2 linked regions of the Oryzias latipes genome follow. The protein of the gene in region 2 interacts with the protein of the main gene of each other region in a biochemical or structural test. Links are inferred from orthologs where the notes say so. Each region holds a gene or a part of one and is shown on either strand. Other genes may lie near its edges.

What was found.
Region 1: the proteins of wbp11 (region 2) and pqbp1 form a complex in vitro, tested with the Homo sapiens proteins (2 studies listed by BioGRID and IntAct, with this or other methods). The link is inferred for Oryzias latipes from reciprocal best matches to the Homo sapiens genes WBP11 and PQBP1.

Annotation. Positions count from the first base shown.
Region 1 is NC_019865.2:21,319,509-21,324,028, forward strand, and holds the start of pqbp1 (polyglutamine-binding protein 1), read right to left. Parts: upstream 2,854-4,520; 5' UTR 2,765-2,853; intron 1,780-2,764; coding exon 1,713-1,779; intron 1,633-1,712; coding exon 1,521-1,632; intron 1,397-1,520; coding exon 1,296-1,396; intron 1-1,295. Other genes in the region: timm17b (mitochondrial import inner membrane translocase subunit Tim17-B), read left to right, coding at 2,874-2,899. UniProt on the Homo sapiens protein: Intrinsically disordered protein that acts as a scaffold, and which is involved in different processes, such as pre-mRNA splicing, transcription regulation, innate immunity and neuron development.
Region 2 is NC_019866.2:20,477,972-20,482,483, reverse strand, and holds the start of wbp11 (WW domain-binding protein 11), read right to left. Parts: upstream 2,967-4,512; 5' UTR 2,800-2,966; intron 2,414-2,799; 5' UTR 2,391-2,413; coding exon 2,327-2,390; intron 2,247-2,326; coding exon 2,215-2,246; intron 2,107-2,214; coding exon 2,013-2,106; intron 1,781-2,012; coding exon 1,584-1,780; intron 1,362-1,583; coding exon 1,231-1,361; intron 1,151-1,230; coding exon 984-1,150; intron 899-983; coding exon 713-898; intron 614-712; coding exon 494-613; intron 392-493; coding exon 110-391; intron 41-109; coding exon 1-40. UniProt on the Homo sapiens protein: Activates pre-mRNA splicing. May inhibit PP1 phosphatase activity.

The sequences.
Region 1 (4,520 bases), on a different chromosome or scaffold from region 2:
GATCGCCGCTACAATATGATGAAGCTTTCAAGTTAAAAGCAATCGTTAAAAGCAGCGTGAAAAAATCCCCCATCAGTAAATGGAAATGCCGGTCAGCTGCGTGACGGAGAGAACAGCGCATGCTCAGAAGTGTATTTACCTCTGAGTCATAGTGACTCGGCTGGCTGCACGTAAATATGTGTGAATAACATCAGCCTTTATTTTGTCGGGACACGACTGGAAACACAAATCCATTTGGTCGTTTTTACGGTTTCTGACTGAGCGGAATTTTGCATTGAAAAGCTCACAGCCGCCGTGTGAGCTTTTCGGATAGGAAGGGGAGACAAGGAGCCTGCTTGGCGAGCGCGGAGCGCAGAGGCGTCCGCGGAGCAACAAGTGTTTGTTGTGAGAGGAAGCTTCTGACGAACGCGCCGCGCTGAGGCGCGCGCTATTTTACTGATGTTTTTTAACCAGCCCCGTTAGTACCATAACGCTGCCGCGACACAAGTGGAAGGAGAGCTGTTCCTTTTCACCCCTCCATGCACTGCTGCTCCTTGCTCATTCTTAAACACGAACAACAGTGTGGCGAGCCGGGCGTTGGCCCCGCCTTTAGCCCCTAAGACTCATGGGAAATGGGGGATCGCGGATATAAATTTCCTCATCATAACTGAGGGATGTAATGTTGATTATATGGTTACTGTTTGTAATTTTATGTATGATACCTAGTTTGTCAATAAGTTAAAAAAAATAAAAAAACCCATAACTGAGGAACTTGTGAACAGAATAGAGGTCCATGCCGTTTCAGATGTGGGTGTAATTAGATACATGAGCTTGAGACAAGGCCAGTACCTGCCCACAGTGTGGTAATGAGCCATGCACACTCTGGTAGTCAGGATGCGCTTTGTTGAGGCAGCGGCTTGTATACTGATGCAGCTTGTGTATGTACAAAAATATTTAAGCACGTTAAAATAGGTGGGTGCGGCTTGTGATCGGGTGCGCTTTATAACCCGGAATTTACGGTAAATATAATATATATAATATAAAAATAATATAAAAATCAAAAGGAAATCCACATCTTTGAGGTTTTAGAAAACAATCATTATCTGAGTAGCATGACAAACAAAGTTTGAATATAAAGATGGATAAACTTTAGCTATATGAGAGTTTATTACACATTCATGCTCTTCATGTTCTTTTTTTGTTTCCTCATACCCTTGTCAAAAAGTAAAAATCCAATATTTTGGACATTTTATGAACTCTGTAAAACAATTTTTAATGAAAGCAGAGCAAAGTCATCTACTTTACCAAATTCTTACCTTTTGCTTTTTTGGCAGCTTTCATTATAACCGCTGACGGATCATTTGGGGAAAGCCAGGAAACCAGATCGGACTCAATGTTCCAGTAATAAGGAAGACCGCTGGGAAATGAAGAAAACAAATAACTTTAGCTGCAATTGCTTTTCATTTCAATGGTAGATCAATGACACGCAGTGATCATACTCAAACACAGCAGCGCAGCTGATCGACTTCGTTTCTACGTACCACGTCGAGTCAAACACTTTGTACCAATTTGGGGGAAGATTTTCTAACCGAGTGGCTTCATAGTCAACATTGTTGTCATCATAATCTTCAGCGATGATCTCCTCCTCTATCTCTGTTTTGTTGAGGAGAAAAAGTCGTTTTAAGCTCAGAAAAAAAGCAGAAAGTAAGCTCTGTGAGGATGTAGAATACTACCTTGATCTGAAGGTTTAACTATTCCTCTCTTGGCCAAACGGGCCAGCAGGGCTGGAGGTAGAGGCATCTGCAAGCACAGAGGAGTTAGGATTAAATGATGATGCAAATGCTGACAAATTCTTCAGTTGATTACATACGAATTCACCGATTGTGTACAGGAGTTAGGATTGCAGAAATTTTGATTAAATATAAATTCTTTTTAAAAAAAAATAAAGGTTCCATTCCAAAACTAATTATGTTCGTTCACAAACATTTTTGCCTAACTAGTGATTTAAATAAAGCAAAACTTGAACTTTAAATCAATAAAATTCAACTTCTGGCTTTAAAAGCAAAGAAAATGTTTTATTTAACCTGACAAATACAAAATATTACTTTTATAGAAAAATCAATTAATTAAATAACTGATTTGGCTTTAATTTGGCAGAACTGTTTCGTTTCAAACTAACCCATAAAAGCAACAACATAAGAGACACCCATTACCCCAAATTCTGAAATTAAACATGTTCTATGACCAAATCCAGATGTACAGATGTGTACATTCAGAGCACCTGTATAGATAAGGTATTTGAAGCAAACAAATCCATTCTTCACTGTTTCTAAACAAATTCTCTGGAGGAAAATTTTATGATAAGGTGCGAAATTTAAACACGCACGCACGCGCGCGCACACACACACACACAAAACTGTCTCAATTTCAAAGCAGCTCAAAAAATGAAACAGGACTTTTCTGAAAGTTATTTCGATGGTTCTGGTTCTACTATGGAGCGATTGATTAAAACTCTCAAACGTTAAGTTTTTTTTGTCTTTTAAATATTGAGGTTAGTGTAGCTCAGTCAGTTTTAAAATATCGATAATTAGCAAAGAAACAATATTTCAAGAGCTAAAATAATCTGCACGAAAACATGATCCAGGCCCGTTTTTCTGAACTCAACTCACAGCTGCGGTTAAAATAAATCAAAATCCCGTCATTTTGAAGTTCCTAACTATAATAAGAAACTCAATTAACCAAGTAAGCGTTTATATAAATAACAAAGAGGGGGGAAAGTCTGTACCTGTTCTTAAAAACGACTATTTCAATCGTTAAAATCAACAGACCACCACAACGAACGATGAGCCGGCGCCTGATTATGACGTCACTGCGCTTAAAAGACGACACGAAAGATGGAGGAGTTTGCGCGTGAACCTTGGTGAGATTATCTTTTTTTGTCGAATAAAACCTAAACATATTAGTTTGTCCTTTGGCTTTTATGCAATTTTGCCCTCTTGTTGAACGAAACCTGACCAGGTTGAATAGTTTCGCGTCCACCACCGAGAAGTAATCTAATTTCAACTAGAATTCTAACATTTCGCAGGTTATAAAATATATTATTTCTACAATTTATGGAAAAACGACAACATTTACTGTTAGTGCTTTAAATTAGCTTAAAACATATTGCGAACAAATGTTACATATTTTGTGACATTTTTAATTAATTGGTAGTAAGCTTGTTTATTGTTTTTCAAGCCGAAACATCCAATTTATATCCTTGTGCAGAAATGGATGTTTTATATATCACAGAATATAATGGTATTTAATAGCAATTAAGATCACAGTTACATTTATTCTATAAATCCTAAATGCAGTTTAAATCTCTCAACAACTTTCAGACATTTTAAAGAATAATCATTAACATTGTCTACTATTTCATAGATGGATGATTGTTTATTAGAATTCAGTAAAGTCGACACTTCTAGGGCTTCAGGCACACAGATCTCCTCTAAAGCTGCCCCAACTCATCAAAATGCTGACATGCTTGTCATTGAGTCATTGATAATCCAGATTGATAATAACACTTCTGAATTTAACTGATTATAGATATTAGATAGTTGTTATGGTTAACCCATTTACTTCTGAGTTCAGAGTTTTTGGAGGGATTAACAGAAAGATCCCCCACCGTCTACAAAAGGAAGACACACAAACCAATCAGAGTAAAAACATGGAGACAGAATCATTTGTTTCTCTTTTTGGTCTGCTCCTGCTCCGTCTGCTTGCTGCCCCACGCCGCTCCGTCTGCTTGCTGCCCCACGCCGCTCCCTTCTGCCTCCTTTTTTCCCCCTCGCAGCTACAAGCTCTGCCACCTCTGGCTCTTCTCTGTTCTGATCTAATCAGTTTCTCTCTGATCTGTTCCTGCTTTGTGGTTATTCCTAGTTTTGAACTTAAAGGAAGTCAGAATTCACTCCCCTTGTGTCAGAAGAAAACACTGTGGATCTGTGATCCATTATTTTGCCTTTAGAGAGTAAATCTGAATGGAGAGAACCCCCTAAGTTTATAAGACAAAAGAATCAGAGGAAAATCCTTTAATTTATCATTTGACTCGTGACAAAGTAGAATAAATAGAAGAGTTAGCATGAAAAAGCCTGTGTCTTCTCATTTAGATCTTTGTTTGTTTTGAACATTTGAGCCTCCTGCAGCAGTAAGCCACCAGAAAGAACAATAATATGTTGCTGTTTTGCTGTCTTAATCCAATGACTAATTATTTAAACAAGTGTTTTAAAGCTGTTAAAGAAAATGCAGGTTCAGTGTGACCTTAAATAATGTCTGCATCTGTCGTTTAATAATATACTGCAGCTAAAATTGGGATTTGGAGTTAATATAATCCAAAGATGAATTCTTGTGGAAGCTGGAAAGTATGCCGGATCGTTGATAGCTTTCCTAAGAAATTAATAAAAAGGTTATTTGTTTCAGTTCTACACCTTTAACTTCTTGGCCTAATTTTGGTTCATTCAGATCCTGATGAGTCAATCTGCAATTTTTTTCCTCTGTGTCCG
Region 2 (4,512 bases):
CCCCCTGGCATCCCAGGAGGCCTCAGGAAGGGAGGAGCGCCTGAAAGAACAGTTTCCGTTTTAATATCGGGCAAAAATGATGCAAACGTGGGTTCAGAGCTGAACAAACCTGGCGGAGGGCCTGGTGGGGGACCAGAAGGAGGACCAGGGGGCCTCATTGGAGGAGCTGGAGGTGGGCCGAGAGGTGGAGGTCCAGTCATTGGAGGACCTTGCATGGGTGGAGGACCTTGCTGTGCCACATTTCCGGCAGTAGGAGGCAGATTCTGACCAGCCAAAGAATGAGGCTGCTTTTCTCCCTTTGATCCCCTCTCCTCTGTGTCAGAGCTGTCAGATCCATCCGTATATTCTTCCTCTTCTTCTTCGTCTTCATCCTCCTCAGGAATCGACTGACCTGAGAAGAGAAAAGCAGCGAATAGATATAAATATTTAAATATATTGAGAATAAAAGGCAGCTGTAATGCTGTAGAGATGTGGATGTGGCCCTCGTCCTCACCTGCCATCCTCAACATCATGGCCTGCAGAGGAGTGATGGCTTTGCTCTTTTTCACAACTCTTTTCTTCTTTTTCTTCCCATCTCCTTCCGCTGGCATGTCTGCAAAACGCACACTCCGACCTGCCGGGAATACGAGCCGGAGAAAAAAACACAAGACATTATATTAAAAAAAATGCACTCAGGGATGCTGATCAGCATCTTTGTTTCCTTTTTTTTTACCTCTGTCTTTGTTCTCCTCCCTCTTTTTGTCGTCATCTTGCCGCTCGTTGTCCCCTCCTTCTCGCTCTTCCTCGCTGTCTTCCTCAGAGTCGCTGTCATCGTCCCGGTCATCTCTGTCGCTCTCACTGCCACTGTCCTGATCCCTTTCCATTTCCACGTCTCTATCTAAACCAGGAATGGAGGATTCTTTGCAGAGAAAAAGAAAAGGTAAGAGGAGCAGGAGATTTAAAAAAAACACACACACACTGACATAGATGTGTCTGAATGTTACCGGCTTTTGTGCTGTAAGCTCTCCGAGAAGGAATTCCATAGAGAGCCAGGACCTGAGGAGGTGGGGGTCCAGGTGGGGGCCCTGGTGGCTTCTTTCCTGGAGGTAAACGCGGGACACCAGGTACTGATGCCATCACCGGTCCAGTGGATGAAGAAAGAAGTGGCTTGCTATGAAAAACAAAATGAGAACAATAAATAACATATTACATCCCACAGAATGCAGGAAGAGAAACTTGAACAAAACCAACCCAAAAGGGGTCTTCTTCAGAATGGAGGGAGGCTGCGCCCCTGGCAATGGGATGTCTTGGATGTGAATATTTGAAGGAGCGTGGGGCATGTCAGGTAAAGGAATACTGTCGACCTCCACTGACTCGGCATTCTGGAGGAAAAAATGCAAATATTAACACCTGCAACTAGAAAAAAAAAAAAAAAAAAAAAAAAAAAAAGCCAAAAAGACTTGAAATAAACCAAACTGTGTGTGTGACTTGGAGGTAAAACCTAATTTAAAATTTTTCAAAAGGTAATTAATACTTTAAGAAAAGAATAAAGGATCTTTAAGTGAACAAAGGAAGGAAAAAGGATCAGGAAGAACTAAAGCTACCTTCACTGAATCAAAATAAAGAGCCAGCTGGCCTCGCTTGGTCTCGTAGTCCAGTTCCAGTTTGCGCAGCTCCTTGTAAGTTTCCGGGTTCTCCCTCTCGTACAAATGGATGATGCGCTCAAATGTCTCACGCAGCTTCTTCCTCTTGTCCCTCAGTACTTTCTCATTCAGCAGAGGCTGTTGAACTGGGTTAAACTCTGCAGACAAGAAAAAGAATCAAAATGTTATTTTAAATTAGGATGGAGAGTGACTCAAAAGCTTATCCACATGCATGGACATCAATTTATGGGTTATAATACCGCAGTAGTTAATTCTGCTTAACTGAGGCTACATGACTATGTGTGTAGAGAGTCAGCTCAAAGATTAACTTGGGTTCTAGGAGGTTAAAGATGTAAAATAAAGTGAAAAAAGCAAATAGGAGCTGCTTACCCATCTCATCTAGCTTCTCCATATCTCTGATGATCTGTCTGGGATCCTTCATTTTCAACACTGCTGCTCTTACCATCATCCTCTGCTTCTTGTTCTGTGCAAAGAAAAAGCAAAGAAATGCAATCCAGAATAAAATTGTTTAGAAAAAAAAAATGAATGAATAAAAAAAGCCAACAAATATTCAGCTTAACAGTCCAAGTACCTTTTTTAACTCCCTTTTCCTCGCCTCTTTCCCTGTAAGGTAGGTAACACAAACACAAATGAGTCATGTTGACTGGATCTGATCATCACTGCTCGCACGGGTCGGTACTTACTGGCCTGGTCGGTGGGATTCATGAACTTCCCACTCTTGGTGGAGGAGGTTGAACGTCGCCCCATTGTTGCGGTCAGTCTCGTTTAACCTAACCAGTGCAGAATAAACGATGTAATGAGGTAAACAAACAAAAACTACAATCATATTCTAAAATGTGGTTAGAGTGCCTTGATGTTACTGTTTTATACCAAACTGATGGTAAGTTTTATGATCCCACAAAGCTAAATTAATATTTGAAGGAAGTTTAACTGTTTCTCTTTATAATAGTTGAGCTAGCAGGTAAACACGGAACTCTTGGCTCTTATTTTTACATAATTTGGTAAAACAAAGAAGGAATTCAGGCTGCTGGCAAAGCATATCGAAGCAAAAAGCTTGGACTCCAGCAGAGATTCGCTAGCTTAGCGCGTTAGCTTGCACTTGTGGCTACGCCCGTTTTAGCATCAACTGCAACAAATTAGTCAACGCCGCCTCTACCTTTACTTCAGGAAAACCTGGTGGACCACGATGGGTTTGTCACGCTCTCCGTGACACCTAAAGCAAAAAAATAAAGCCACAACCGAAAGAAAACCCAACACTTTAGGGCTAAATGTGTATGAATGCAACGTTAGCCGTCCGCCATGTTTACTGGCGCGGGCAAAAGCGGAAACACGATTTTGACGTCATAAAATTTCAAAATAAGATACTTTTTGTTGAGTATTTTTAGTTTGTTTGAAAGTTTTTGTTATTTGCTAATTTTATGGCCAAACATCTTCTTTTTTGTAATCAAATGCCGACCTTTAGTATTTGCCTGACAAAATAAAATATTTATAAAGTATTTTATTTATTAAAATGTGTGTTTGTTTGATTGTTTTTTGCCATTTTAAGAGAATGGAAACACAATATACTGCCATTGCTAACTACCGAGTACTAATATTAACAATATGAAAAAATGCATGATGATGTGATGTTTAAAACATTTTTAAAAAATAGAATGACATATTTTTCAAGCAATGACAATAACAAGCACCGATTCCAGCCAGAAAGGCCAAGTGGGCAAAATATGTTTAAAAGTGGGCAGAAAAAGTGGACCAGTTCACCGAATGCCCACTTAAGCCAATGTGAGGCCACCACAGAAACTGCAGACAATTGCCCACATTTTCTGCTCACTTTTAAACCATATGGGGCCCACTTGGCCTTTCTGGCTGAGAGCTAGTAGTATTGTTTACATGGAATTGAACTGTTGCTCTTAGGTTTAGTTAAGATTCAGGTTAACTGTGACAGCTCATTTTCTCTTTCTGACTGATGCAGATGGGGAAGCTGCTCATCTAAACGGATAACCTTCCCAATGATGCTGCCATACACCAGAACATCATTGAAGAAGAAGGCTTTGAGCTCCCACGTCTTCATCGTTTTGTTGTGTGTTTGTGGTGGGGAGGTGTAAGAGGAGTGTAAGGGTTGTGGTAAATCAGCTGTTTCTTTAAAGTCCCATTAGCTGCCATGCACCAAGGTGGGGGAAATTCGTTCTCCGGAACAATGTTATCAAGGACAATTTGGTAGTTTAACCCTCCAATTCAACCGCTTCATGCTGGGTGTTGAGCAGGAAGTTATTGGGTCCCATTTTCAAAGTCTTTGATCTGACTCAGCGGTGGATTTGAACTCACAACCTCCACCACAACCCCTCCACCACAAGGCCTCTGAGCTGGAGACCACAGAATATTGGCCACAGAATAATGATACAGTTGACAACTATGTGAACACGAGAGCAAGTGAAGTCTCAGTGTTATGGTGTCTTCATTGTAATGTAAGTGTAATTAGTTTAAAATTTAAATTAAAAAATGTGTATTTAGTTTTAAAACATGTCAGTAATTAGGATTGGAAGGCCAAATGACCCACACCCACAACACAAAACTGGCAAAAGACTTATAGACATTTTTATGGTACGAAGTCGCATGCTTTGATGAAATATTTGTTCTCATTCTATTTCTATCTTTTGGCCGTGCATTGCATTCTAAGATCATACTGTGTGTAAAAACATTCGACTGTATCATGGGGAACGTGAAACGTTGCATCCCTACTGCATATCATGGTTGTGCTAAATTTAACGACGTTTTATTATTCATTGTTTTATTACATTACACCAGGCTAAGTACAAACCAACTGAAATGTTTTTTTTATTGTTAGTTGCTTATTAGCAGATTAAAATAGCAT